2 linked regions of the Stegostoma tigrinum genome follow. The protein of the gene in region 1 interacts with the protein of each later gene in a pairwise test. Links are inferred from orthologs where the notes say so. Each region holds a gene or a part of one and is shown in the gene's direction. Other genes may lie near its edges. The genes, in order: lmo3 and wwox.

Evidence for each region.
Region 2: the proteins of lmo3 (region 1) and wwox interact in binary tests that used the Homo sapiens proteins (3 or more experiments, as listed by UniProt). The link is inferred for Stegostoma tigrinum from reciprocal best matches to the Homo sapiens genes LMO3 and WWOX.

Annotation. Positions count from the first base shown.
Region 1 is NC_081378.1:43,077,101-43,092,814, reverse strand, and holds the start of lmo3 (LIM domain only protein 3), read left to right. Parts: upstream 1-8,172; 5' UTR 8,173-8,183; coding exon 8,184-8,253; intron 8,254-8,464; exon of another isoform or gene 8,465-8,817; intron 8,818-8,881; exon of another isoform or gene 8,882-9,205; intron 9,206-9,238; exon of another isoform or gene 9,239-9,431; coding exon of another isoform or gene 9,432-9,447; intron 9,448-9,808; exon of another isoform or gene 9,809-10,007; coding exon of another isoform or gene 10,008-10,038; exon of another isoform or gene 10,039-10,062; coding exon of another isoform or gene 10,063-10,117; intron 10,118-11,008; exon of another isoform or gene 11,009-11,030; intron 11,031-11,256; exon of another isoform or gene 11,257-11,450; intron 11,451-11,705; exon of another isoform or gene 11,706-11,819; intron 11,820-12,011; coding exon 12,012-12,225; intron 12,226-15,714.
Region 2 is NC_081369.1:54,058,235-54,074,041, forward strand, and holds the start of wwox (WW domain-containing oxidoreductase), read left to right. Parts: upstream 1-8,266; 5' UTR 8,267-8,314; coding exon 8,315-8,421; intron 8,422-13,317; coding exon 13,318-13,382; intron 13,383-15,807. UniProt on the Homo sapiens protein: Putative oxidoreductase. Acts as a tumor suppressor and plays a role in apoptosis. Required for normal bone development. May function synergistically with p53/TP53 to control genotoxic stress-induced cell death.

The DNA of each region.
Region 1 (15,714 bases):
GAAGAGCGGAAATTACTTAGAGAACGTGAACAAAGTTTGAACAAATGAAGAAGGAATCAACACCTGGTGGTAATTGGACAGCAGCACAGCACAATGTAACTAACTGGGTCAGCTGCCCCATTTGAGTTTCACAGTGGTCACATGCAAAATCTGCTCTCCTCTGGCCAATTCAACTGTTTTCTTGTTGCAGAGTCAGAAGTTTAATGCCCACTAACATCTTGTCTGTCTCTAACAATTTGGCTCAGCTTTGAGCCCATTTTTTGTTCTGCAATGAGACAAAGGGAGGGATTGAGTATGATGGAAGAGGATGTAAGGGTGGTTAATTGTCATTCAAGAAATAGTTAGATATCCCCAAAGAATGTGTAGGAAATGCAACAGATAAGAAGGGTTATCATTATTGAAGATGAGAAATATGTGAGAGACATTGGGTCTCTCTCGATACTGAGGGTGTGGCCCATTGACCTATGAGAGATATGTGGCAGTGGCAGAGTGTGAGTGAGTAATGGCCCTTTGAGTGTGAGGTAGCAAAGAAAAGATGGTAATACTTAACCTTGCAGAGTGCAGAAGGTCATTGAACATCTTTCTGCAATGCTATACACCCTCTTTGTGTGGGACACTGCATTAACTGTGCTGCAATTTCTGTTTAGCTTGCTGGGTCTGGAGGTGCTACTGTACTGGAAAAAGAACTGACCACCTCTTCATGACCCCATTCACCAACTCTTCAGGTCTTGAACTGTGAAACAGGTGGCATCCTTCACTTTCTGCTGGGGTATGTCCTCAGTGATTAGACTTGAGCAGAACAGTGTGAAAGGTCATTCCTGGATAGCACCGTCTGAAGTGAACTGGAACTAGACTTTTTATTTTCTTTATTCATTCACAGGATGAGGGTGCCTCTGGCTAGGCAGCATTTACTGCCCATCCCTAATTGCCCAGATTCAGAGTCAACCACATTGCTGTGGGTCTTGAGTCGCATGTAGGTCAGGCCAGGTAAGGATGGCAGTTTCCTTCTCTAAAAGGACATTAGTGAACCAGAGATAATGGGAACTGCAGATGCCGGAGAATCCAAGATAACAAAATGTGAGGCTGGATGAACACAGCAGGCCAAGCAGCATCTCAGGAGCACAAAAGCTGACGTTTCGGGCCTAGACCCTTCATCAGAGAGCCAGATGGGGTTTTTCATCTGACAATCAACAATGGACTCATGGTCATCAGTAAATTCTTAATTCCAGATATTTATTGAATTCAAATTCCACCATCTGTCGTGGTGGGATTTGAACCTGGGTGCCCGGTTGTTATCTGTGGTCTCTGGATTTACAGTCTAGTGATAATACCACTAGGCCATTGTCTCCCCTTAAAATACTTCAGATACAATGCCAGAGGCATTAAAACTGGATGACACCAGCCAGTGTTGAGCATTTCTGTCTTGCTCACAATGAGATTCTCAATGAAACATTTGACTTGTTAATTTCTGAGGGTGGAGGTAGAAGATCAAATTGGCCCAGCCATGGCACAGTTGGCACCATGAAACTCAACTACCTCTACACTTAAATGGCAAACAGGAAATTTCAGCCCTTGAGGTCTGAAATTCAGTGAAGGCTGAAGTAAGATTCCATAAGTTGAAAAATGGGGAGGAAAGGACACTAGATCTGTAAAGCAGTTAGATTTAACTTTGTAGGCAGGAGGCAAGTATATTAAAAATTACAACAAAATTGCTGCACTTGTTAATATAGCACGCAGCTAAGCAGGTGATTGGGGTAATTTGAGTAATTAATTGACTAGGTAGATATAAAACTGGGGTTGGTGTGTGGAAGGAGCTGTAAGACTGAGTAGCTAATAAACTGCATCCTCAAAGACAGGTGTCTTAGCTTTGGTCTTACAGATCAGCTTGGCTCCGGTTTGACAGCACTGTTTCAGAGAAATAATAACAAGAACGTAATAAACAGGATTTTTTTATTGTTCAGTGGGATGTGCAAGGTAAGCAATTGTTGCTCATATGTGTTTATCCTTGAACAGAATGACTAGCTGTGCCAATTCAGACGGCTGTTAAGAATTAGAGATAACAAATTGTGAAGCTGGATGAACACAGCAGGCCAAGCAGCATCTTAGGAGCACAAAAGCTGACATTTCGAGCCTAGACCCTTCATCAGAAAAGAGGGATGGGGAGAGGGTTCTGACATAAATAGGGAGAGACGTGGAGGCGGATGGATAGAGGGGAAGATCGGTGGAGGGGAGACAGACAAGTTAAAGGGGTGGGAATGGAACCTGTAGAGGTGGGTGTAGGTGGGGAGGTAGGGAGGGGATAGGTCAGTCTGGGGAAGATGGACAGGTCAAGGGGGCCAGATGAGGTTAGTAGGTAGGCAATGGGGGTGCGGCTTGAGGTGGAAGGAGGGGATAGGTGAGAGGAAAAACAGGTTAGGGAGGCGGGGACGAGCTGGGCTTGTTATGGGATGCAGTGGGGGAGGGGGAGATTTTGAAGGTTGTGAAGTCCACATTGATACCATTGGGCTGCAGGGTTCCCAATCGGAATATGAGTTCCTGTTTCTGCAACCTTCGGCTGGCATCATTGTGGCACTGCAGGAGGCCTAGGATGGACATGTTGTCTAAGGAGTAATTAACTATGTTGCTGTGGGTCAGGAATAACATGTAGACCAGCCAGGAAAGGATGGAAACTTTCTATTCCTCAAACGATGTTAGTGAACCAGATGAGTGTTTACATGCACACCATTGATGAGATTAGCTTTGATTTCCAGATTAATTGACTACATTCAAATTCCATTATCTGCCCCCAGAGCATTAACCAGGACCTCTAGTTTACTGATCCAGTGGCATTACCACCAGGGCACCATCCCTCTCCTGATATGAGAAATATTATGCCACACATGGCAAGAAAGAGAATGGGTTGCAGAAAGCAACTTTGATGGAGTATTCATCATGGAACAATGCTCACTGTTATGACAATTAAAAGAATGCTGGCATAGGCTGGCTAAAGACACCACGTGTAAAAGGGAACTGGTTCATAAAACTGGCAATAAAAGTCGGTAATGTTGCTATAGTCTAGAGGACCATAGGGCTGCTCTCTCATTACAGAGAGATGACTGATGATGGCTTAACCTGAGGATCACCACACCTCAGGTGAGGGGAAAGATTGAGAAGAAGCGTCCAACATTGTGACCTCGGCTTGTATGTGAATTCAACGCATGCTATTAGTGCCACTATGCATTGCAAACCATCCACCCAGAATGCCTCACTCTAGGTTCTGTATATTCCATTGTATCTTTTCTGTGCTCAATTGTAACAAAGCAGGGGCAAGGTCATGGGGAAACAAACTCCTCACAGTATTCAGGTCTCACTTAAATATTTTAATGAAGCTGCCTACCTCAGACACCCCCAGCTTTTATGTTGACCCCCCAGACAGATTTCCTAAGTTAGTAGAAACACAGAAAATTGGAGCGGGGCAGACTAGTTGGCTTTTTGATTCCATTCTGTCATTCAGTATGATCAAGGATGATCAGCCAATTAAGTACATTGTTCCTTCTTTCTCCAGATAGTCTTTGATCCCTTTCGCCCTCAGAACCATATCTGGCTCCTTTTTGAAAACAGTCAATATTTTGTCACAACCACTTTCTGTGGCAGAGAATTCCACAGGCTCAACACTCTCTGGGTGAAGAAATTTCTCCTCACTTCAGTCTTAAATGATCTATCCCATATCCTTAGAACGTGGCCCCTGGTTTTGGACTCCCCAATCATTGCAAACATTCATCCTGCATTTACTTTGTCTAGTCCTGTTTGAATGTTATAGTTTTCAATGAGAAATCACACACCACATTCTTCTAAACTCTAATGAACACAGTCCTAACCAATCCTGTCTCTCTTCAGTCTGAATTCAATTTAAAAAATCTGGAATTGAGAACCTAATGATGACCATGAATCGATTGTCAGGAAAAAACCCATCTGGTTCACTAATGTACTTTAGGGAAAGTAACTGCCATCCTTACCTGGTCTGGCCTACATGTGACTCCAGACTCCCAGCAATGTGGTTGACTCTGAACTGCCCTCTGGACAATAAATACCAGCAACATCTTCATTCTGTTAATGAATAAAATTTTTAAAAATACTTGAATCCTCATGCTATGAAGGCCAAGATACCATTTGCCTTCTTGATTACCCACTGTTCCTGCAGCCTGGAAAACATTAAAGGATCGAAACTTGAGAACTTAGAAAATAGGAATAGGCCATTCACCTCTTTGGGCCTGCTCCACCATTCAATATGATGAGCGCTAGAAATCTGGAAACTAATGGAGGGAAATCTTACTTGCTGAGGAATCAAACTTGTCTTTCCAGGAGGAACAGGAGTGCTCCCCTCCATCATAGAACTCCAGGAAAGCCTGTCTAATGATCCCCCCTTTCAATTAGAGGCCCTCACCCATGATGAAGCTGCCAATGGTCATTGCCCACATCACCCCCTACCCCAGAAATGTGAGCCCAATGTCTCTCTGACCCCTGCCCATTATATTACCCACCATCTCTATGCTGCTCCCTCCTTCTTGTCCTTCCAATGTCTTCCCCGTATGCAGGAAGCCAGCATAATTCTGCAATGCAGTCTCTGTTGCTGTATTCTGAACTTGACAGGGTGCTAAATACTGTATCAGTGATAATGGGAACTGCAGATGCTGGAGAATCCAAGATAATAAAATGTGACGCTGGATGAACACAGCAGGCCCAGCAGCATCTCAGGAGCACAAAAGCTGACATTTCGGGCCTAGACCCTTCATCAGAGAGAAGGGTCTGATGAAGGGTCTAGGCCCGAAACGTCAGCTTTTGTGCTCCTGAGATGCTGCTGGGCCTGCTGTGTTCATCCAGCCTCACATTTTATTATCAGGGAGCTAAATACTGTTGGCCACACTGACTATGGACATGTTTAAAAAAAGAGCTGTCAGATAGTGTTCCTCTCAGAGCTCCTGCCCACTCTTAGAAATTTCAACCCAGCAAACATCAGGTGGTTTGTATTCTTGTGGCTGTTTATATAGTGTGCATGTTTTGAAGATGCCACCCGTTTTGGAGAAGGCAAGGATTTTGCTTGCTGAAATGAGTGTAGCTAGGTTGTGATGATACAAGGCTTCAGACAAGCTCATCGTGGAACATTACACACGAAAATGGTTGAGTGTGGAAACCTTTCTAACATTATCTACGAAGTTAGGTGATGTTGGTCCCCTACTTCTGGCAGGGGCAGGACAATGCAGATCAATAAATGTCCTGAGATAGTAGGAACTGCCAATGCTGGAGAACAGCCCCGACTCGAAATGTCAAGCTTTCCTGCTCCTCTGATGCTGCTCTGCCTGCTGTGTTCATCCAGCTTCACACCGTGTTATCTCAATAAATGTCCTTATAGCTTCTCTCAGATCACCAAGCATAACTCAGTCACTGCATCTGTGCTAACCCAAAATGTGATTCCAAGTCTGCTCATCACCATACCTCCATGATGCGCAGGGAGTCTATTTACTTTGCATTGACCTTGAGCAGTTGTGCATTGCACATTTCCTAAGCCTCTTTGTACCTGAGTTGACCTCTTCTCCTCTTGCAACATTCCCGGCAGTCTTAGAACCTTGAAGCATACCTCCACATTATTCATTTCTCTTGTTGAAGTGGTGAAACTTTGAAATGTTTCTCTCTGTTATGTTCACTATAACCAGGAGGATTATATTCAGTCTTTGACAATCCTGCACAAAGGCTACATGGGTTCACCCACAATTACATTAAGGAGCCCTTAACAAACCATAACATTTAATTGCCCCTAATATTCTTAGTAAAAACCAAAAGAACTGCAGATGCTGTAAATCAGAAACAAAGACATAAATTACTGGAAAAGCTCAGCAGGTCTGACAGCTTCTGTGAAGAGAAACCAGAGTTAACATTTTAGGTTGAGTGACCCTTCCTCAGAGCCCTTCCTAATATTCTTAGAGTGCCTTGAACCCTCAGACCGGCAATAAATACAGACAAGTGTTCACTTTTGGCAAAGTACTGCTGCATTAGTGTGTATAGAATTTGTTTCCCTCATCTCGAAAATTCATTCCACCAATTTTGTGATGTGATGTGACCTTTGACTCCCTCGAGACCATCAAAGTTCCTTTGGCAAATTCTTTGTTTCAGAGGAGAAGTGCACAGTAAACCTTATCCATTAGTTAAAGGATTGTCAAAGCCAATCCACAATTCTACAGTACAGGAAATTTCTACCCTTTTAAGTGCAAAACCATAGTATTACCATTTCCCAAAGTGCTCTCTGTTTTAGGCTGCTTTCCTAATTAGCAGGATGATAACAGCGTTGCTGATTGGCATTATAAAAGCAGTAGTTTGGCTTCATCTGTCCCAGGTGTGCAGTATTTTTCCCTCACTGTTTCAGAGCAGCACCTCTCTCCTTCATTGCTCCTTAAAGTTCCTATCTGAGGAATTAAAACAGATTTTGAAAAAAGACATTAAAACAGAATTTCCCCTGCCACGGCTGATCATTAGTAGCTTTTATCAAAAAGTACAAACCATACAAAGTTAGTTTCTCTTCCCCTTTGTTATCAGAGTAGAATAAAAAGGAAGCAAAGGGGGAGAGGAAAAAAAGACGGAGCTCTGTCAGTGAACTGAATGTGCTATTAAATCTGGCGTCACTACAAAGGTTAGCAGATCTAACTGTCAATACTATGAGCGAGTGGAGTCCAGTAAGGGGGGCTTTGTGAGAAAGAGATACTTTGATATTTTGGAATGTTAGAAGGGTGAATGTGAAAAATTGGAGGTTGGGGATCTAATTACCCAACCGTAATTGGGGGCTGGGGAATAAGTTTCAGTCCTCTCAACTCACCACAGATCAATTATGTTAAGAGAACATCTGTAAGTAGAACTTAATGAGGTCCATTAGAGCAACATGTACAGCCTCCTCTAACAGTACTTGTCAGCTTCTTGGATGAGCTGAAGGAAGCTGCTAACTAGGGACCTGGTGAGGTGCTTAAATACTGGAGGAAAAGAAGCTGGCCCACTCAGGTTTTGTGCTCAGCTTGAGAAGAGAGAGACAGGTGGCCCTTTCATCCCTGCTGTCGCGGTTAGAAGGAACAACTAACTGGTTCTGCCATCATCCCCATGAAAAGAAATTTGCTCTCTCTCTGTCTTCCCCGGAATCAGAGTTTTATTTTCAGAAGAGGAAGAAACAGCCTAACACTTAATTCTTGCCTCAACAACACTGTTTAGTGTTTCTATTTGTGAATATAGGATTTCTGTTTGATCTCCTTTTGAGGAAAAGGAAAGAACTCAAAACAACGCATTAGTGCAAAGCAGTTTTTTAAAAAAGTGAAAACTTGACGGATCTTTTTCTTTGAAACCTGCTCAGCAGTGGTTTGAAATAAGGTGAGTTCTATCTATTACAGTCTTCTGTGTTGAATTTGATTTTAAAGGGTGCTTGTGAAATAGGGGATAAACTGCCTTAGTTGATGAATGGAAAGGTTGCAATATATTTTTGAGAATCAGTTTGGGCTGGAACATTTTTTTTAAATATAAGAAATAGCTACTTTGTTTTAGTTCTTTTTAAAAGGGGTTTCTTGAGAGTTTTCAATTTAGCACTTAATTTGCCCACAGTGAAAGAAAATGCTCGCCTACATTAAAACTCCCTTCTGGCTTGACAGAGGGAGTAAATGCAAAAATTTATGTTTGAAAATGAAAAGAAGGGAGGATTTTGTGGAGATTATGAATTAGTGTTTGTTTTTTTAATATGTGAATATCAATTGATGATTAAATTCCACCTCTTGTTCACCAAATCACTGTGCGTGTGTGTCCCCTAGTATTTCATTGCTAGTCATCACTGCTGATCACATCTGTGCAATGCACTAAGTGGTGGGCCTCTTCAACTGTATGGTTTGTGATGATTCTGTGAATAATTCATATGATTATGAAGAGAGGGGGGAAATGCTATTTTCTGTCTCTTCTGACTTAAAAAATTCCCTGAAAATTGCACGATTGGGAAGATAGTCCGCATTCAAATAATTTAATTCATGACAAAACCTAATTACTGTCAGGTAATACCCTGTCAGTTTTAATGCATTTCATCAGTCATAATGAAAAGAGGAGCATTTTATGACCCATCTTATTATCATTACATTTTGTGTAGTGGGTGGGGGTGGGAATGAGAGAAATGAGTAGCATGGAGCTGAATGTTAACTATTGATTCCTATGTGTTTTCTCTTCAAATGAAGTTGGGGCGTATTATTCACCTCCGAGGAGGTAAAAGTACAATATAGAACCGGGGTTTTGGACAGTTTCTCAGACGCGTGAGAAAATGGTTAAACGTCTGCAACTCGCTGGTGCTATTAAGAATCTATTGCTACAGTCTAAATAGAGTACTAATTACTGGGAAATGATGTCACTGTAGGCAGAAGAATAATCCTATCATTTAATTAGTTGAATGATTTAAACAAAGATTTGCATAGATGCCCTAATCATTTGCCATGAATTACAGAGCAGTCCTTGCAAACGAGGGATAGCAGATCATACAGATTTTTAAAAAAAAACTCATCTCCTTGAACATAATTAATTTAATTGTCCTCATTAGCTGTTCTATTTGTTTTGATTTTGTCTCACTCGCTGCTCTGTATGTGTGCATGTATTGGCTAACAAAAGGCGTTGATATCTCATAGTTGTAAAGGGCTAAACAGTAGAGAAGGTTTTTTTGTGAAACGGGGAGGGGGAACCACAACTCGGCTCTACTACACTTTTTTTGTGAAACGGTTAAATCAATAAGAAAGCTCTCATTAATCCGCAGTCTCTGAAACTGGACGCACTCAAGAGGTTGGTTTTCTAGCTTTTTTTATACACACCCCTCCCTGAGAACGGCTTGTGTGTGTGTGTGTGGTTCTGACTAACCAAAAGCTTGCGGCTGTTCCTAAATTTTCACCATGGGGAAATTAGCCATTGAGACAGGATTCATCCCAGGGCTATAGCTGGACTTGGGTCGACAGCAGAGTGTGTGCGTGTGGTAATATCGAAGTCTGGGGGAGCGCTGCCGTGTGCCTTGTCGAGTGTGTGTGTGCGCGTCTGTGTGTGTGTGTGGCGGCAGCCGCGCTACCTCGCTAATAATTGAATGACCTTTTACTGCATTGTGTGTCTCGCTGGCGAAGGATTGAATTTGCAGATGATGAGGCTGAATTCGTTTAGGACAATTCTTATAAGCTGATAGGTAAGTTGTCCTCCATCATTCGTCGCAGGGAAAGGTTACACTGCAGATACCCAGACGGAACACCTGTAGCTCCGTTGTGATCAACTCGATTACTGGCAGTTCCTTGGGGATCTCATTATCTTTAAAACTTTCTTTTAACGATTCAAGTGCATTCCGTGTGTTGACCTTGCGTTGGAAGAAAGTACACGCTGTATTCTGAACATATTTTGGAGAGGGTTTCTTTTTCATGTTGAATAGAGACGGTAAGTGGAAAGAGTATCCCTCTGGCTATTTCCCGGCTACTCTGGGCTGTGTTTTGCTTTTGTAGAGTGTGCGTTTTATATTTCTGAATGATTTGAACTTTCTGCGTTGTCACTGCGCCCTTCTGTAGGGGACTTATTTGTTTTTTTGAGGCTAAGGTAAGTTTCCTCTGGTTAGATATTTTCTGGGATTCTTGTTAATGGAAAAAAAATACAAAAAGTTTTTTTTTTGTGTGGGGGAGCTCTTGCCACTGCAAGGGGGGGGGGGTTACAAGTAAATTCCTTCCCCCACCCCCTACCAAAAAAGTGTGGGGCTGTCATTCCGCATTCACACTAACTGCCTCGAAGTGTCAGGCTGATGATTGGAAACGTGCGGTACGTTTGTAAAGCGTGTGTCTTTGTCGGTGTCAACAATGACCTGGCTCGGTGTACTCGCTCATCGTCGCCAGTTCACCCTGACGGGGAAGGAACCGGCTCTTCCAGCAAGAAACTGCTAGAGACCTGGTCACCCTACCAAGCACCCCCCCCCTCCCCCTCTTCTAAAAAAAAACGTACACACACCGATGCAAAAAAGGGGAGGAAAGTTATTTTATGGTAAGGCGGCGAACGTGATTCTCGATGCTATTGTATGTGTGTGTGTCTGCGATTCTGCACAAAGCCGAGTTCTTCAGAGGTTTGTGGAATAAGAATCTCTCTGCCTTTTCCACCTATACAAGCAGCGTGACGCCTTCTGTGACTTGCATGATTTTTTATTTTAGTGCTTTCTGAAGGATTCCTTTTTTCTGTCAAAAGTGTTGTCATCTGTAAATGGCTCTCTTCGCATTATTCAAACCATTCTTCTCGCGGGGTAGAGAAAGGGGGGGAGAAAAAGACATTAAATTGAGCATGTTAGCGATGAGAGTGGGCTTTTCTCTTTACTGTGTGTTTTGTATGCTGGCTGCATCAGAAATTGGGGTGGCCGTCGCAAAATCTCATTGGCCTTTGCCAAGCACCAGCACTTTGCTGCCATGGAAACTGTAATTAAACTGATAAGAGTGGAAAAATGTCAGTATCTCTTCAGCCTTACAGCTACATCTAAGAAGGGAGTGGGAATCAAATTGGTTCCGAGCTCCAGTTCTTTATAAAGAAATAGCTTTTTTTAAAAAAAGCCTGAACTGGGGACATTTATTTGCATTGTAATTCCGGAGGGTGGTTATCCGCAGGGGCGCTCTGGACCCATTGAACCAGGAGCGAGAGAGAAAGAAACGGCTTTAAGATTGATTCCAACGTTTATTATTCACCCACCCCTCAAAAATCTTTTGTTTGCCATCCATCAATGATATAATGAAACAGTGTTGGCAAAATTCTCTCCTTCTCATTTACCACCTTTTTTTTATTAAGCGGGACCAAAAACTTCCAATTTGCCAAATCTTTCCCTCAGTCTCTGTGTCTGTCTCTCTCTCTCTCTCTCTCTCTCTCTCTCTGCCCTCCCCTCCCCAGGGACAAATGAGTTAAGGATCGGTTTAGGAATCTGTTCTCTTTTTAAAACAAAACAATGGAGCGCAACATATTCCACGGAAGTGAAAGTCTTACTAATCTTGAGCATGGTAATGAGTTAGTCCCTGCTCCTCCCCTCTGGTCTAGCTCGGTTTTGTTTTTTTTGGCGGGGGGGAAGAGAATTAAGTGCCATTAGGGTAAAAGAGCAGAAGAAGGTGATGGTGAGGTCTGTTTACAATAAAATCTTAGCAATTGGAGTGAGCGCTATTTAAATGGACTGAGATCATTAAGAAATGTAAACACTGTGGACCATGCCCAAACTCTCACTTCTAAATCTAGGTTTCCATCAAATGGATGTGTATGTCTGAGAAGCTATCGAAAATTAAAGGCAGTAATTGCTGTTTTGATCTAAAAATTCTCTTCCCTTTTTTAAAAAAGAGGCTTTTTTAATTCCTCCAATATAATGGACTTTTGGTACTATTGAGATCTGTGTGAACTGGGGAGGATATTTCCAACTGTGGGCACACGAGGTTAGTCCATTAAACCACCAAATGGTACCAAAAACAAAATCGTTTCAACTTAAGTGAACTGACCAGTACTTGGGTGGAAGGGGCGCTATCTTCAGCTGTATCATCAGGCTGCGGAACTGGGCTCGGGGCGGTGTGAAATGGAGAAAGTTTGACTTGTTGGAAATACCATTTGATTGTAAATAACGGATTAAAGTCTCGTTGCTGGCTCTGAGAGGAGGTTGTTTGCGTCTCCTGGTCTGCCATATGGATGTGCATCATCTCTTCCACCAGGGAAGGGTGACACTGTCCAGTTACCATCGCATATAACCAGGCGCTGCCGCTTCTCAACAAGCCTCCCCAGCCTGAACACCGGAGACGGCAGTTGGAGCAGTAATGTTGTCATTTTTTGTCGCACTTCACACAGCCCAGCTAGAAACTGAGTACTCATGATTTAGCTTAACGCGAGCAACCGAATACTGTGCAGGAATAGGACACAGTCATTCACTGACCTGGTGGTGTTGTGTTGGTTTTTTTTGTGTGTCCTGCTCTTCTCATTCCCCTCCCCACTTTTCCTTTCTGTAGGTATACAAATGCTCTCAGCTCAGCCAGACACCAAGCCGAAGGGTTGTGCTGGCTGCAACCGGAAGATTAAAGACCGTTACCTCCTGAAGGCGCTGGATAAGTACTGGCATGAGGACTGTCTGAAATGTGCCTGCTGTGACTGCCGCCTGGGAGAGGTGGGCTCAACTCTGTACACCAAGGCGAACCTCATCCTCTGTCGCAGAGACTACCTGAGGTAGGGCTAGCGAGGGGGTTTGGTGGTTGGGGGGGGGGGGGGGGAGAGCTGAGACAGGGGAAACTTTCACGGCCGAGCTGGCCAATTTTTAAGCGTGTATTTCATTATTTACTATTCCAAGAACAAAAAAATAAATGTTTTGTCAGCATGGTGCAAAGAGTTTGTGGAATGATGTTGAGGTATTTGTCCGGGGGGTGGGGGGCGGTGGATGACCTTTTGATGCAGTCAAAACGCGCGGCCTTGGACACTCTCTCGCTGGGTGAGGAAAGTCTTTGATATGTCGCCTGTTTGTGTGCGTCTCCCCTCCTTTTAGAACCAACTCTGGTTAATAGGGACCACAGATGTGCATTTCTACATATACTGACCTCAATCTGTCCTGCACATGCCCACCCCCACTGCAACATTTTTTTAAAAATGAATTAATATAGAGTCCATTTGCGGGAGCGTTCATGAGCATAGTCTGTGGGGAGTGACGGCTTTTCGGTCTTTGGCAATTGCGAAGTTATGTGAGGGAGTTTAAAATGTGCACCGCAGCTTTTGGTTTTCAGTTTATTTGCCTTGAAGGAATTGTAGGTCACCGCTCCTCTCGGTGCTTTATCTGCAGTCTTACGTCTGTGTTTTTTTTTCTCTCTCCCCCTGCCACTCAGTAACCTTGACCATTTTGGAACACTTTTTTTTAGAAAACTGATCTTCATTTTGCAAAGACACCAAAAGAAATTGCTGCATTAGGTCCCTGGTAGCTGAACCCTGCAAGCTGCAGCGCCGCCCTCTAGTGGACGTTGGGTTGGCATGCTATGAGGAAAACCCGGCAGCAAGAGAATGTTTTGAGTTGGGTCATTAGTTTGCCAATGGTCCACCATTCGTACTATGGTGATGTTCTCTGGTACTCCCTATACTGAAGTGCAGAGTGCTGTTTTTCCTTGATTTTGGGCATGGGGGAATATGTGGAACGATTATTACTCAAATGACTTATAACCACCCCCATGTTGTGGCATCCTGTGTTAACAATACATTTTAATTGTAAGGCATATTTGTGTAAACTCAGCCTGTGTTTCTAAAACACAAGTAAGTCATCAAAAAGCAGTCGGAAATATTACATGCCCTGTTATTGCTTTCATTAGTTATTTTTCCTGATGCCTTTTGATTTTTAAAACAACTTGGTGAACATATTTTAAAGATGCCAGTGTCTTTAGTTGGTGGAGTAATTTGCCTATAGATTGGACACCTGATTTCATTGCAGTTCAACCTGTTTGCAAGTTTCCCTGTTTCAGAAGCAAAGTTGGTCTCTTCCCTTTTTTTTTGCACCTAAACTTCTGGTGGGGTGAGAGGCCTGAGTCGACTCGGGCACCTAATAAGTGTAGGTCTGCTGTGGTTCAAAGATGTTATTCCCACAATTGCTGCTGAAACTATTTTCCTATAAAGTTGAGAATTTTCCAATTGCATCTTTTGGCTTTAACTGTGGGTAGAATTGTTGTGGCAGACAGTAGTTAAGGGAAGCATGTAATTCTTCAAGGGATCTACAAAAACTAAGTCGGGTATTGCAACATGATGAAGGAAAGGCCACTTCAATTCATCTAATCCATGCTTGTACCAAATTGCCTATTACTGTTAATTGTTTAACTTCAATAGTGAGAAATAACTGCTTTAATCCTGAATCTCTGGGAGTGTACATGTGACTGAACGTCTCTAGTAACGGGCCCTCATTGTACAATCTTTTTCCCATGGCTTTGAATTTTATGTTGCTAAGGTTGTTGTGATGTGACTCAAACAAGTCGGGAAATTCGAGGTGATCAATCTTAGATGGATCACAAGTTAGGAGACCAATGATTTTAAGCTTGGTTAATGACAAATATTACAAGATGAAGACATAGAGATACATCTTCAAGGTAAAACTGGGTAGATCCTATTTCAACTAGTGTTAAAAACAATTGCTCTGAATGGTTTGGAGACACTTTTCTTAACAGTTAACCTGCACATGGCTTTTTCAGTCCAAAAGCAGATTCATTAATCAAGTTCAAGGTTGAGTATTGGCTCAGGATCTAAATATTAACTATAGATATGTTGTCTTCTGGTAATGTTTGTCATTAACCAAGCTTAAAATCATTGGTCTCCTAATTTGTAATCTGTCTAAAATTGATCACCTTGAATTTGCTGTATATATGAAGCTAGCAATGGGGGGGGGGGGGGGGTAGGAAAAGCAACACTTTATACTGTCTGGAACCCTTTTACAATCCTCAGTATCATCTATGTATTTAGGGTTTACCTTTGAAATTTGAATGCTCCATGTTCTCCAGCTCAAATTTAGCCTCAAACGCTGAATTTTACTGATCCACGTTCTGTTGCGAGTATAGTGAATTTGCAGAATTCTTTACCACAGAGAGCAGTTGAGGCTTGGTTGTTAATTACATTGATGGCTGAGAGATTGTTAATGAATAAGTGAACCAAGGTTTATGGGGAAAAGGCAGGAAACCGGAGTTGAGAAATTTCAAATCCATTGGGCTGATTTCTCCCCCCCCCCCCCCCCCCAATCCCCCCACCTCCTGTTCCTCCATCCTACAGTCTTGTCTACAGGTGCTACCATTCAAATCTTTTAAGAAAGCTTTAATATTGTGTATAGTTCTGGTCACTTTGCTATAGAAAGGATATTATTAAACTGAAAAGGATGCAGGAAAGATTCACAAGGATGTTACTGTGGCCAGAGTTGTATGGAAAAGCTGGATAGACTGGGACTTCTATCACTGGAGCATATGAGGCTGAGGGGTGACCTTTATCGAGGTTTATAAAATCTCAATATGAATAATCAAAGTCTTTTCCCAGGGTAGGCAAGCCCAAATCTGGAGGGCATTGGTTTAAGGTGAAAGGGGAAACATATTTAAAAGGGACCTGAGGGGCAACTTTTTTTTGACCAGGCATGGTGCATATATGGAATGAGCTGCAGAGGAAGTGGTGGAGGCTGGCACAGTTACATAATTATAGGATTCCTACAGTTTGGATGCAGGCCGTTCAGCCCACAAAAGACCCCCACTCCCCCCTCAGTCCCTGCATTTCCTACCTTAGACTTTGTGTGGGCAATTTAGCATGGCCAGTCCACCTAACCTGCACATCTTTGGACTGTGGGAGAAAACCACACTACTGAGGAAAGTTACGCAGATGCAGGGAGAATGTACAAACTCTGAACAGGCAGTCACCTGAGGCTGGAATCAAACGCAGGTCCCTGGCGCTGTGAGGCAGCAGTGCTAACCACTGAGACACTGCTGCCCAAACAACATTTAAAAGGCATTTGGACAATCACACGAATAGGAAAGACTTAGAGGGATTTGGGCCAAACACAGGCAAATGGAACTACTTTAGTTTGGGGAAACCTGGTCAGCGTGGATGAGTTGGACCTAAGGGTCTGTTCCCGTGTTGTGTGACTCAAACCTGAGACACTCAATCCCTACTATGGATTGAAGGGCTGATTTGCTATTTTTTATTTCCACCTTTCCCTGG
Region 2 (15,807 bases), on another chromosome or scaffold:
TTGAGAAACCGCAAAGGGAAAAAGTCTGATGGGAGCGATGTACAAGCTGAGCAGTAGTCAGGATGTGGGAATGAAAATAAATCAGGAGATTAAAAAAAGGCATTAATTACAACAATCATTGGGGACCTCAAAATCCAGGTGAGCTGGAAAAACCAGGTCAGTAGCAGATCTCAAGTAAAGGAATTCATGGAATATCTATGAGATGGTTCTTTCTTCCTAGAGTTCCACTAGGGAACAGGCAATACTGCATTTGGTGATGTGTAATGAGGCAGACTTGATTAGGAAATTTAAGGTGAAGGAACTCCAAGGGGGCAGTGACCATAATATGATAGAATTCACCCTGCACTTTAAGAGGGAGAAGCTGAAATCAGTTGTAATGGTATTACAGCTGAGAAAAGATGACTACAAAGACATGAGGGAGGAGCTGGCCAGGGTAATTGGAAGGGGAGCCCAGCAGGGAAGATGGTGGAGCTACAATGGCAGGAGTTTCTGAGGGCAATTCAGAAGGCTCAGCAGAAATTCATCCCAAGGAAGAAAAAACACTAATGGGAGGGTGAGGCAACCATGGCTGACAAGGAAAGTCAGGGACAGCATGAAAGCAAAAGAAAAAGCATACAATCTGTTGAAAATTAGTGGGAAACCTTTAAAAATCAGCAGAGGATAATTAAAAGCAATGAGGCGGGAGAAGATGAAATATGAGAGTGAGCTAGCTAGTAATATTAAAGAAGATTGCAAAAGCTTTTTTGACATATGTAAATTGTGAGAGGGAAGAATGATTTTGGACCACTGGAATATCAGGTTGGAGAAATAGTAATAAGCAATTTAAGTGGAGGAACTAAATGGGTACTTTGCATCAGTCTTCACAGTGGAAGACAACAACAGTGTACCACAACTTCAAGAGAGCTGGGGAACAGTGGTGAGTGAAGTAGCTCTCACTAAGGAGAAGGTGCTGTGGAAGTTTCAAGGTCTGAAGGTGGATAAATCATTCAGACCAAATGGGCTACACTCTAGAGTTCTGAAGGAGACATCTGAGGAGAATGTGGAGGCATGTGGTGATCTCTCAGGAATCGCTGGAGTTAGGGATAGTCCAAGAGGATCGGAAAATAGCTAATGTATCACACCTGTTTATAAAGGGAGGGAGGCAGAAGGCAAGAAACTAAAATCTGGTTATTCTGACTGTGGCCACTTCAAGGATGAGATTGTGGAGTACTTGAAAGTGCATGACAAAATTGTGTTGTGTCAGCGCAGCTTCATCAAGGGGAGGTCCTGCCTGACAAATCTGTTAGAATTCTTTGAAGAGGTAATGGGCAGGTTAGTCAAAGTAGAGCCAGTGAACATGATCTATTTGGATTTCCAGAAGGCCTTTGACGAGTTTATGCACAAGAGGCTACTAAATAACACAGAGCCATGGTGTTAGAGGCAAGGTATTGGCATGGATAGTGGCTGACTGGCAGAAGACAGAGAGTAGGAATAAAGGGGTCTTTTTCAGAATAGCAGCCAGTGACAAGTGGAGTTCGACAGTAGTGTGTGTTGGGACCAGAACTATTCATGTTATACGTTAATGATCTAAAGGAAGGAACCGAAGCATTTTGCTCAGTTTGTAAATGAGACAAAGATAGGTGGAGGGACCGGTGGTGTTGAGGAAGCAGGGAACCTGCAGAAGGACATGGACAGTCTCGGAGAACAAGGGAAAATGTGAGTTTATAACTTTGGTAAGAGGAATAAAGGCAAAGAGTATTTTCTAAAGCTTCAGAAATCTGAAGCATAAAGGGATTTGGGAGTCCTAGTTCAGGATTCTCTTCAGGTTAACATGCAGGTTCAGTTAGCAGTTAGAAATGTAAATGCAATGTTACCATTTATTTCAAGAGGGCTAGAATGCAAGAGCAGGGATATAATGCTGAGGCTGTATAAGACACTTATCAAGTTGCCTTTGGAATATTCTGAGCAGTTTTGAGCCCTGGATCTAAGGAAGGATATACTGACGTTAGAGGGGATGTATGCGAGGTTCATGAGAATGATCCTGAGGAATAAGGGCTTGTTGTATGAAGAGCAGTTGAGGACTCTGGGTCTGTACTCGATGGAGTTTAAAAGATGAGGAGGGATTTGATTGAAACTCACAGAATATTTCCACTTGTAGGAGAGACAGGGCCTGAGGGCTCAGCCTTAGAAAGAGGGAATGCCTCTTTAAAAATGAAATGAAGAGGAATCTCTTCAGCCAGAGTGTGGTTATTCTGTGGAAGTCACTGCTGCTGAGGGCTGTGGAGGTCAAGTCATTTAGCGTCATTAAGACAGATAGATGGGTTCCTGATTGATAAAAGGGTCAAGGATTACAGGGAGAAATGTATCAGCCACGATCAAATGACAGAGCAGACTATTGGCTTAATGGCCTAACTCTGCTCCGATATCACGGTCATACCTCTGCTCCTACATTTTATGGTTTTACCCTTTATTATGTTCATTTTACACAATAAATTTTCAGTTTCACTCACCAATTTAATGACTGCTACTGCTTCAATGCTCTTGCCACTCATCACCTTACTGCTGATTCTCTGCCTTTGTAGAAAACCCTCCATAAATTTCAGCTTAACATTCAGCGGCCATATTTTATCTTACCCCACATCAAGTCCCAGTTGGCTATCACAACTATTCTCTCTGATAATTATCTGGTTCCTCATTGTCATTGTCCACTTGTCACTCTTGCACTTAAATCCTGTCAGGGCTTCATTATCTTACCAAACTTCTATTGAGTTAGCCTATACTTTCCGTGCCTTTGCCCATTACTGGTGGCTGTGCTTTAGTTAGATCTCACTGTACTGAATATCCCCATTGAATCTGAGCTGTATTGCTAGGGATAGAGAATACACATGGAACCCAATATCCCTTTTCCTGAAGATTAGACATAGCACAGTGCATTTATATCTAATTTGTAGCTTTTCTCATTGCTCTATTGCAAAGTTTTCTCTCCTCTATCATTATGCTGGAGCACTTCTGTTCTTCCAGGTAAATTGTTGCTGCCTGTTGTTCAGATATTGTTCTCTAGGGGCTTATTAAAGCCATATTTTTGACTTTCGTTCATGGGAAAAGCTGCTGTTGTTTACTTTTGGCTTCATGGGTCCTGAGGGCAGTCTACATTATAACTATGTGCTCGGCACAGGAAACTGTTATCAGCACTTTGTTTGAAAATCGGTCTTAAAAGACAAAATAGACTATCTTAGAATTTTACAAAACAAAACAGATTTGTAGGAACAACCGTTGGGGGCAGTAGTAGCATCTTGGTTACATATGTATAAATTACGAGCACAAAGAGGCCATTTCGCTCTTCAAGCCTGCCCTGCCACACATTAAGATCATGTCTGACCTGTTTGTGCTCTGATTTCCACATTGCCACATACTCCAGATAACCTTTTATATCTTTGCTTGACAAGAATCTATCTGTCTGCACCTTAAAATATTCAATGACCTCACCTCCATCTTCTGAGGCAAAGGGACAGTGCCAATAATATTTTGATTGTTCTGTGTATCAGGTTTTTTTTAGATTACATTGCCTACAGTGTGGAAACAAGCCTTTTGGCCCAACAAGTCCACACCGTCTCTTGGAGCATCCCATGCAAAACCATCCCTCTATAACCCACACACCCCTGAACACTATGGGCAATTTAGCATGGCTGATCCACCTAGCCTACACATCTTTGGACTGTGGCAGGAAACCGGAGCACCCGGAGGAAACCCACGCAGACATGCGGAGAATGTGCAAACTCCACACAGACAGTCACCCAAGGCTGGAATTGAACTCAGGTCCCTGGCGCTGTGAGGCTGCAGTGCTAACCACTGAGCCACCGTACCACCCGTTGCCTGCTTCGTTGATCTTATATCTCAATTGAATATTGCCCTTGGCAACATCATTCCAAAACACAGTGTTACTTTCCACTTGTAAAGGGATGAACTTTACTTTACTGCCACCTCTCTTAATCTCTCTACTGAAATTTGCCAGACTGCTTGTCTGATTTCCAGTAGTGGATGACCAGAAATCTTCTTCGGACTAAATAATGGAAAGACTGAAGTCACTGTATTTGATATTTGGTTTTCCCCCTCATGCTTTCTGCTTGCCACAGCTCGTCTTCTGCTGAAACCATCATCTATGGCTTTGTTATCTCCAATCCTGACTATTCCATCACGTTCCTAACCTGCCACGTTCCAAATATTGTAAACCTGAAGTCATCCAAAAGTCTGTTTTCGCTAACTTCCTTTTAGATATCACGCCATGTTTGCTGACCCACATCGGCTCCTTGTTGAACCATATTCCAGTTTTAAAATTCTCATCCTTCTTTTCAAATTGCCACACAGCCTCACCCATTTCCGTCTCTAATTTGTTCTGGCCCTTCAATCCTCCACAATTTCTGTGCAGCTGCAATTTTGGATTTTTGACGTTTCTTGATTTTAACTACTTCACCACTGACAACCATGCATTCAGCTGCTGAGGCCTAAATTCTACTGCAAATTGCTACGCCTCTCTTTTTATTTTCTCCTTTAAGATATTCCTTAAAATTGACCTATTTAACCAGACTCTTGCTCATCTGTTCTGAAATCATATGTTACTTAGATTCAAATTTTGTTTGATAATTCTACTGTAAAATGCTTTGAAATGTTTGTTTCTGGGTCACTGGGTGAATTAAGCCTCTGAAATGAATGATTATGGGCATTAGAGATACTAGGAACTGCAGATGCTGGAGAATCTGAGATAACAAGGTGTAGAGCTGGATGAACACAGCAGGGCAAGCAGCATCAGAGGAGCAGCAAGGCTGACGTTTCGGGCCTAGACCCTTTTTCTGAACTTTGTTTGGTAGTCTGCAGACCTATTTTCTAAATGTACGGTACAGAACTGAAATTCATAAACTACATTTGTATGAAAAAAACATGATGCAGATGTTGGAAATTTGAAACGAACACAGCGATTGCAGGAGAAACCCTGCAGATCTGGCAGCATCTGTAGAGAGAGAAACAGATTTAATATTTCAAGTTTGGTATGACTGTTAGAAACCCAATTTGTTGGTTTGCCAATAAAGCTAATCTACAACATACAGAACTGTAGGAATCCCAACATTTATATTAAATAGTGAAGGTAGATTTTCGCAATACTAAAAGACATTCTGCTTATCACACAAATGAGAAATGTGGAATGAATTTCAGTGAGTTGGATACTAGGTATGTATGTTGTAGTTCTGGAAAACTGGTGGCTTGTACCGAACAGCAAATCTCTTTGGCAGTTTGCAGCAGTGAGACAGTGATCATCCCCAAACAGCCTGTACTTCCAAAATGTGCAGCACAGTGTCCAACATTACATGTGATTCTGTAATTGGAAAACATTTACAACATAATGCTGAGTACGCTTTGAATTATACTAATAATGAATTTAGGATTGTCAGCTGGGCTTCCAGTAACCACACTTGCATAGACTGGATGCTACATATACTAATACAGAGGGTCTTGTTCTCAACAGACAGAAAGAGCATATACATATACTGTACCTATTTCAGTGCAACTAAAGTGGTGACAGCTATTCTCTGGTTTATTTATTACTGCAATGTCATTGGTACATCCGAGTTGATCTACCTGATTTAAAATTTAAACAAAACCTGGTAGTTAACTATTAGTCATCATTAACTGTCACATTTTCCACAGTATTGTCTACAGCTGAAAGCAAAAATTGCTGGAAATCACAGCGGGTCAGGCAGCATCTATGGAGACAGAGCAAGGTAACGTTTTGAGTCTAGATGACTCTTCATCAGAGCTGGTCTCAATAGTATCAGAGATAATGGGAACTGCAGATGCTGGAGAATTCCAAGATAATAAAATGTGAGGCTGGATGAACACAGCAGGCCAAGCAGCATCTCAGGAGCACAAAAGCTGACGTTTCGGGCCAAGACCCTTCATCAGAGTCTCTGATGAAGGGTCTAGGCCCGAAACGTCAGCTTTTGTGCTCCTGAGATGCTGCTTGGCCTGCTGTGTTCATCCAGCCTCACATTTTATTATCTTGGTCTCAATAGTGACTGTTTAAGCTTTAGAGCATCCCTCAGTGGGAGTACTAGACTTTTGAATGTGCCAATCTCCAAGATACTTTAAACTGGAAGACCAACATGTTTCCGGCAGGCCAAAGACTACCTTTCACTGAGTTGATGGCCATTCAGCTGCAATTGCAGTCAGTGTGCATGACAGACCTGCTTGGGATGAATACTTGGGGGAAAAAATACATTTCTCTTCAGATCAATGAGAAACACTTTCCACAAGCAGATGGGCAATGGTCTCTTCCAGACCACTGCCACGTTGAGCACAATAAGCAGAGGGGATGAGACATGGTACACATACAAAAGATCTGATGGTAATAGTCTTACTTATCACCAGAAGGACTGTCAATCATCTTTAATGGGTCCATTCTCCGTGGAAATGAATGCACAAATCAGAATCCAATAGCCAATTAATCAGCACCCTACTCTCATACAGTTTAAATGATGGTTTTCCCCTTGAATTGTTATTCTTGTGAATGGTCCTGATCAGTCCAATATAACCAGCCTTGACAACATTTTTGTTCAGCAATACTTATGTTCTATCAAACGACTATTATAATTGTACTGAGGTATTTCAAAGTGGTATATGATTTATGGGGACAAGTTGAATTTGATAGTGTTTTCTGTAATTTTCAAGTCAATGTTTTGGAATGTTATCTTACCATCTCTAAGATTTTTTTTGGAAGAAGGGTAGATGAATTATACCTGATATTCCGGCCAATGTTCATTCTTCGATCAATACAAAAATAACTGATTTGGGTTTTGTGACATTGCTGATTGCAGGATAGCTAATTGCCTTTTGTACAACAGCAATGGTGTGTAAAATACTTCATTGGCTGTCAGGCCCTTTGGAAATTGCCATGAAATCTGTGAATAAATCGTAAGTTTATAAGATTAACTGAAAGATCATTGGCCTGAAAGGTTAACACCTTTTAGTTTCCCACCCAAATGGAAAAATTAGTAAAACTTAACAATCCAACTTGTCTTGTATGCATCAGAACAGTGTTCTAGTATGACTACTTCTGACGAAAGGTTATTGGCCTCAACTTTGTTTTCTGTCCACAGGTGCTGCGAGAGTTGCTGTGTTCCTCCAGAAATTTCTGTTTTTAGGTGCATTCATTTTCAAGTATCACTGATTTTTTTACTGCCTTTTCATTCTAGGCAAGTGATACACACCATCTCCAGCATTTCCTGCTCACTCAGAATATTCCAGAGATTAGGAGTTAATTTTATGAAAAGGGGGTGTCACAGCAGTTAGCATTACTGCCTCGCAGAATCAAGATTCGATTCTAGCCTCGGATGTCTGTGTGGAGTTTGCACATTTTCCCTGTGTTGGCGTGCGTTTCCTCCGGGTGCTCCGGTTTCCTCCCTCATTCCAAAGATGTGCGGGTTGGGTGGATTGGCTATGCTAAATTGCCCAGTGTTCAGGCATGTGTAGCTTAGGTGGGTCATTGGGGAATGGGTCTGGGTGGGATGCTCTGAGGTTCAGTGTGGACTTGTTGGGCCAAGGAGCCTGTTGCCACACTGTAGGGATTCTATGAAGAGAGATTGAACATGTTAAGCTTAGAAGAATAAGAGATCTCATTGAGATATATGATGCTCAAGGAGATTTACAAAGTAGGGATGTTTCCTCTTGTGGGGTGATATTGAATGACAGATCATAGTTTTAGGATAAGGTGGAGCAGATTTAAAACAGAGATAAGGAAGAATTTCTTTTCCCAAAGGTGATGATTCTTGGAATTCAGTATTCCAGAGTATGGTAGATGTTGAGACATTTGAGTAAGTTTAGGAAGTAATTAGGCAGATTTTCAATTAGTAATGGTTTGAAGGGTTATGGGGAGCAGGCAGGAAAGTGAGGTTGAGGCTGATATGAGATCACCATGATGAATTGTGGTGTAGACTCGAGGAGCTGAATTGCCTCCTACAGCTCCCAGCTCTCGTACCAACGTTAGGTTTTCAGCACCGCAGTATTTTACTTTTATCCCAATCTATGGTTAAAAAAAATGAGCATTGAAGGAAATGCTTCTTCAGTTAAACATTTCACCAGACTTTTCTGTTTATGTCGGATTTTTAGCAACTGCACCATTTGGCTTCTGAGAGTAGACCGATCTTAGACACCGGTGGAGGAAACTACAACTCCCAGCATGCCAGGGTGACGGGCGAGCATGCGCAATGGCGGTTGTTTCCGGTGGGGGAGGCGGAAGTGAGGTAGGTAAACAGTCTGGCAGTTGCGGTGTGAACCTGCTAGGACGATGGCCGCTTTGAAGTATGCGGGGCTGGACGACACCGACAGTGAGGATGAACTGCCTCCTGGCTGGGAGGAGAGGACCACAAAAGACGGCTGGATTTACTACGCCAAGTAAGGAAATCACGAAGTCCAGTAACAAAATAAAGGGGAGTAGTAGGGAATTGAGGAGTGGGAGATGAAGGGTCAGGACTGAGAGGAGTGAGGTGGGTGGAGGGGTAAGGGGAGGATGTGGGCGTGCAGGAGGGGGAGGACTGAGGAGGAAAGGTGAGTCGGAGAGAAAAGGGTAGAAATGGGAGCAGGGGCTGAGAGGAAACGGAAGGGTGAGTGCCGTGAGGAGGAGGGGTTGAGAGGAGTAAGGGTGAGGGCTGAGTCGAGGGGGATCAAGAGGAGGGATGGGAGGTGGATGGGGAGGGCGTGAGAGAAAAGAGTGAGCTGAGAAGAAAAGGTGTGGGAGGAGAAGTGATGGAGGGCTGGGGGTGTGAGGGGTGACGAGGGCAAAGGTGGTGGGAAGTTGGTGGAAGGCTGGGAGAGAGGACGGGTGCGGAATAAGCAGTGTGGTGAGGGGGAGTGTTGGGTGGATAGGAGGTGTCTGGAAGGAATGATTGGGTGGGGGGTAAGGTTAGGAAGTGGAGGGGTGGAGAGTAGAGAGAGAAAAAGGGAACGAAGGGGGGTAGGAGAGAAAAAAGGCCCCTTGTAAATTGTTAGAAAGGCATCTGTCTCCTGCTGCAAAGCTAAAAATTGCTGAAACTTATTCATGTCTAAGAGTCGCAGAGATATACCACACAGGGGCAGAGTCTTGGGTCCAACTCGTCCTTGCTGACCACATATCCTCTACAAATCTTGTCCCATTTGGCCCATAGCTTGCTAAACTCTTCCTATTCATATACTCATTCAAATGCCTTTTAAATGCTGTAATCGAGCGAGCCTCCACCACTTCCTGTGGCAGCTCATTCAATACCTGCGCCACCCTCTGCGTGAAAATGTTGCCCCTTAGGTCCCTTTTAGATCTTCCCCTTTCCCCTTGCACCTTAAACTGTCACACCCCACCTCCCCTGGGAAAATACCTTGCCTATTTACTAAGTACTTTCTCTTGATTCTTATACTTAAGAAAAAAAGTTTAAAGTTTTGTAACTTCATTGAATTTAATTTTTAATTTAATGAATTCCCACAAATTTCAAGAAGTTGGCCTTGTGAGAAGGGAATGCCTGACAGTTGCGTGTAGTTAGGGTCTGGAGTGCACTGCCTGGAAGTATGGTGGAAGCAGGTTCAGTGGATGAAGGTTTATGATTATTACTATTACTGTTGTAATGGGAGGAAGTCTTAATACTCATTCGGAGAGCTGGAAGTGCAGACGTGATGGACCATTGGCTGCCACCTGCTCTATAACAATTCTGTAGAATTTCTCATGCAACATTCGTAAGGACAGTGGGTGTCAGGTTGTACAGTAGTTGTCACTTTTTATAGATCGTAGAGTTCCTACAGTGTGGAAACAGGCCCTTTGGCCCAATGAGCCCACATCGACCCTCAGAGCATCCCTTCCAGACCTATCCTCCTTTCACCCTCCTAATCTAAACGTCCCTGATCACTACGGGGCAATTTAGCATGCCCATCCACCTAGCCTGCATATCTTTGGATTGTGGGAGGAAACCGGAGTACCCAGAAGAAACTCAAGCAGACGCAGTAAGAATGTACAAACTCCACACAGAGTTGCACGAAGGTGGAATTGAACCTGGATTCCTGGCACTGTGAGGCAGCAGTTCTAACCATTGAGCCACCGTGCTGCCCATGAGACAATCTATCTCACTGAATTTGCCTTTACCAGAAATGCTACTATATTGAAACAGTTAATGTTCAGTCGTTAAATAATCTGTTATTCTCTAAAATTTTTCAAAGAGTTAAAACTTATTCCAATTCATTTTCTTTCATTATATTTTAACTATAGTGCATAAATGAAGTGCATTTTGCTTCACCACTGGTAGTTTGACCAATTAAATTACAACCGGAATGCAATGCCGAGCACTTGCCTTTTAAAATAAGAAAAAGTTAGGGTTGAGGCCATCTTATTAATATGATTTTGTAGAATCACTTCTCAAAAAGCATAAATAACTTTTTAATCATTGCCTGTTCTATTTCCCATGAGTAGAGTTTTTAAGGTAAACAAACATCGATTTCATTGCTTGAAAGCAAATCTATAAATCAATGAAAGATAAATAGTACTTGAATTGAATTATTTTTGTTCTGTTGGGTCCAAGCAATAACTTGCAATCCCTTCTAAGCTTTTATTTTAACTGTTTTTCTCTACTCCCTGGAATCCATCTCCTGGAAGAAGTTTTCCTTCTTTCTATCCAATTTCTTAAGGCTGAATGTGAATTTGTGATCTAGCAGCTTTTACCTTTGCCACCATAATGGGAATATTTGACTTTGAAGTGCAGATGTATGTGAAAGTCGAGGTGTGGCTTTTGAATTTTTAATAATTGTAACGGCAGATTGCCTGGGCTTTCTTGTTACTGCTGAGCAAAAAGCTGCCATTTCTGATAGCCACAGCAGAAATCATACTACTATGTGGAATTGTATCTCTGTGCCTATCATTTGCCTTTTGGGAGGAGAGAGGAACTCAACTGGAAAGAACAAAAGAAGCAGGCTCTTGTATTTTTACCTTGCCCTTTTCAAAGGTAGTATGGTTTACCTTTGCCTTGCTGTAGTTCAACTTTTGACTGCTGTCATGTTTGCTTGGATAAAACAAAACAAGTGTCTGTTTCCAAAACACTTGGCTCTCCGACCAGAGCTAACTGCTTCTAAAATGGAATTTAGCAAAAAGAGCTTTTGCCAGGCACTGATTTTCACTGTGCACTCTGAGGAACTGGTTGTATTAAATCAATGCATATGTGAAGTCAAGACACGAAGCTCAAATGAGTTCTTTTTTAATTAAAATCGAAATACTGAGTGTTATTTATTACTTGGTGAATGAGAGCTTTTGGTAACGTACTTGTTTTTCATTTTCATGTTTGTTCAAAGGTGTTTTAAAATTCTGTGATCATATTGACTCTCTTTTCCTGGAATGAAGAATAGTTCCCTCAGTATACTCTGAATGCTTTTAAAATTAGCTGTCATTCAAACGGACTGAAATACCTGACAGGATATAAATCCAATAATTATTTCTAAACTTGTTTTTCTATTTATAAATACTCCAGTTCTTCCTACCCTTAGTATTCGGATTTGTGAAATCATCACAAGATTGACAGACTTGAAAAATTTACAAGGATGTTTCCAGGAATTGGAAGTTGCAAGGAGAGGCTGAATAGGCTGGGGCTAATTTCCCTGGAGCGTCGGATGTTATACAGAAGCTTATTAAATCACGAGATGTATGGATAGGGTGAATATCCAAGGTCTTTTTCCCAAGGTAGGGGAGTCCAAAACTAGAGAGCATCAGTTAAGGTGAGAGGAGGAAAACTTGAAAGGGACCTTAGGGACAACTTTTTCACTTGGCGAGATGTATGTATGGAATGATTTGCCAGAGGAAGTGGTGGAGGCTGGTACAATTACACCATTCAAAAGGCATCTGGATAGGTACATGAATAGGAAGGTTTACAGGGATATGGGCCAAATCCTAGTAAATGGGACTAGAGTTTAGGCTGACTTGGACTGAAGGGTCTGTCTGTGTGCTGGATAACTTTGACTCTGTTTGAAGCTAGAGTAGAAAGATTTCATGTCTTGACAAAAATGCCCTGCAACGAAGCTACTGTGTTTTATTTCATTAATATTCCACCTCCTACAGTGCTCTCCTTGCCCAATCTGTTTATGTGCAAGACTGTGTAGATTAAAAATCTGTCTGTTGGAGTTGCAAATCCAATGAAACTTTGAAGCGATGCTTAACCTCCAGTATAGAGCTCAAGTTTAGCAGACCAGCAAATATGGCTCAGATATTCATATGCAACAAATGATTTTCAGTATGGTTCACAGTCTTGTCATAGGAAAGTACTTGTTATTTATGATTCTCATTATTATTAGCAAAGTAAATTTTAAAAGAAGTTGTATTTTTGATAACACCATCTGTTGCTGATAACTAATCTCATGTCTCCACCTCCATACTTGGTTAACTTTCTTGCAGAAAACCGTGTCTTCACCATTTTGTCACTTACGATCCACTGATTCATTGTGCAGCAAATCGACTTACAATATCACAATCATAGGTTGATTTGAAAATTAATTTGTTTCCCTATTTGTTTCTTTCTTTAGCCATTTATTGTTGGCTGTATTGTCCTCCAAAATAGCAAATTATTGTACTGCACTTTAACATTGTCGGCCAGTAAGTGCTACTTCCATGGGATACTCTTCCTAGGCCACTGTTTAAGTCTCATACTTTAATTAATTCACCCATGCATATAGCCCTCTAGGGTGAAGAAGTTATTTAAAATCCTTTTTAGGTTAAGAAATGTCTAACTTGTAAGTGTGTAACCCATTATTCTGATACTAGGTTTTTCAGCCAGTGTCAGTATCATGTGTGGCTCATTCCGTTTAATATTTATTTAAAATCAGATTGTGTTGTGGCCAAGGGTCAAACTGAGCTAAGTTTTAAAATGACAAATTAACACAGCATAGTTTCCCTTCTCCAGTCCCTCCGACCTCAATCTGTGCCTCCCACCTCCAGTTTAGTTGGATCATTGTAATGTACGGAAATGAAGGTTGCATTAGAGCAAGAACGAGTAGCCTCTGTATTTCAGCTGTCGACTGGCAGCCACTTGCGCCGAGTGTGGATGCGGAGGATCGAATTTTGGGTTATGAAGTTGTATAAAATAACATACAATAAAATAATTTTTTGTATTGAAGTATCATTGTAGCATTTTTATAGTTTACAATTTTGCTTTCACTGAATTCATTCTGTTATGCTCCTTACGTTGGTTTGTCTTTCTGTTTCATGGTTGTTTACAAATGTTATGTTTTGATCTGCAGGTAAATCACCAAAGAATTTTAAGCCACGAGTTTTACAATTTTCTTTTTACTCAACAGTCATATTGAGCTGAAGACCCAATGGGACCATCCCAAAACCGGGAAAAAGAAACGTGTAGCTGGAGGTGCGTATTATAAATCACAAAGTTAAAATATTAAAACAATCTATATGATTCTTTTAGCACAAATTTTCTTTTTACACATTCATGGGTTGTGAAACCCAAGACATGGGCAAGATGGTAATGACTGATATTAAAGAAGTTCAAGACAGCAGGTTTTAAGTCATGAGGCAAGATCATGCAAAGTAGGCTTGTTTTCTGTAGAATTTAGATATGGAGGGATCTGATTAAAGTCTTCAAGATATGAGCAACAAAATAGTGTAGATAAAAGTAAATGATTTCTGTTGGAAATTCTAGAACTAGGGGGCGTAAAATTAGGGTCAGAGTGTTAGGAAAGATGTTAAGAAGCACTTCTGCATCACAGAGGTAGGGATTTGGAGCTCTCTTTCACAAACGGCAGTTGATGTTAGATCAGTTGTTAATAACAATTTATCTATTTCACATTTAGAATTAAGTTAAGCTGTTAAGGAATCTAGGTCAGAGGCAGGTGTAACAAAATGTTGTGCTGGAGGAACACAGTAGGCCAGGCAGCATCAGAAGAGCAAGAAAGCTGACCAATCTAAAATGTCAGCTTTGCTGCCCCTATGCTGCCTGGCCTGCTGTGTTCCTCCAGCTGCATACTTTGTTATCTCTGACTCCAGCATCAGCAGTTCTTGCTATTTCAGAGGCAGGTATATGTAGTTAGGCCACAGATCACCCATTATCTCATTGAATGGCGTTGGATCAAGTCAAAGGGCTGGATGCCATTTCCTATGCAGACAGTTTCGTGTACAGTGAGTTGCAGGATTTTTCACTGCTGATCTGTGGCATTTAAGTTTTTTGATTAGATGTATATTTCATTAGGTTTGGCCAAGATCTTAAGATTGAAAATCATGATAATTCTGTATGAGCAGCTGTTGGAGGAAATTGATTTGAATTGAATTATTGCATACAAAATGAAAAAGTTATGCTTACTGAGAATTTGAGACTTGGTTAAATGTGCTTGAGGGACTGAATTACCATCTCCTGATCCTAGTTCTTACGTTTGCTGTGTAACAATAACATCCTTTCTCAGAGAAGGATACAAAACAGCGCACAATATTCCAGGTGTGGGCTCACCAAGGCCCTGTATAATTGCAGCAAAACATCCCCACTCCTGTTCGTGAATCATCTTGCTATGAATGTCAACATATTATTTGCAGCCTTTATCACCTGCTGCACCTGCCCACCTACCTTCAGCAACTGGTGTGTGAGGACACCCAGATTTCATTGGCTGCAAATTGCATTCAGAGGAATTTGCATTCAGATAATTAATCTACCTTCCTGTTTTTACTACTGTAGTGGATAACCTCACATTTATGCACATTATTCTGCATTTGCCTACACTCAGCTTGTCCAAATCTCACTGAAGCATTGCTCCATCCTCCTTACAGCTCACCCTCCCTCCTAGCTTTGTAATGGGCAAATTTAGGAATTTTAGTTCCTTCTGTGGTTGGTTCACTCGCAAGCTGGTTTATTATTTCGCGGAAGTTTCATTGCCCTGCTGTGCAACATTTAGTGCCGCCACCGATGAAGCGCTGTAGTGTTTTGTGTTTGGACTCTATATATACACCACTGCGAAGAAATACCAGAAATGAGGTAACCAACTCCAACGGACCCCAGCATTTAAATACCAGGCGGAGAAACACACAGCGCTTAATCGCAGACTGCACTAATGATGTTACCCAGCAGGGTAATGAAATGTCTGCGAACTAACAAACCAGCTCAGCTAGTGAACCAACCACAGCATCCACACCCCAAGTTGCAAATCTACTCAAGAATTTAGTTCCCTCATCCAAATCGCTAATATATGTAGTGAATCGCTGGGGACCTAGCCCTGATCCCCCTCATACCCCACTAGTGACTGCCTCCCATTAGGAAAAAGACTGACTTGTTCCTCCTGTTTTGTTTGCTACCTACCAACTAGTTTTCTGTCCATCTCAATACACTACTCCTAATCCTATGTGTTTTAATTTTACACACTTTCTGAAAGGTTGCAAAGGAACATCACACCTTTTGGGAAAATGTATGGATATTGGCATTTTGCTGCACATGGATGCTTGCTGAAAGTTCCTGTTTGTTTCCCAAATAATATGAAACAATGATGAAGAGTCATCTAGGCTGAAAGTGTTAGCTTGCTGTTTCTCTGTGGATGCTGCCTGACCCGTTGTGATTTTCAGCAGTGTTTGGTTTCGGTGACGTTGTTTTGATCACCTACTGTTGTTTTTTGTTGCAAAAGAAAAGTGATTACTTCCAAAAGCTCAAAAAACTATCAAGGTTTGTGTTAGGAACTGAAGTTGCCACTTCTTACATATTTTGGCAAATAGCTTGAATTGTATTATTCTTTTCATTCTGTGCTCCTTTGTAGCATCAAAATCACAATGAGGAGGCATGGTTTTTATACAGGACTGGA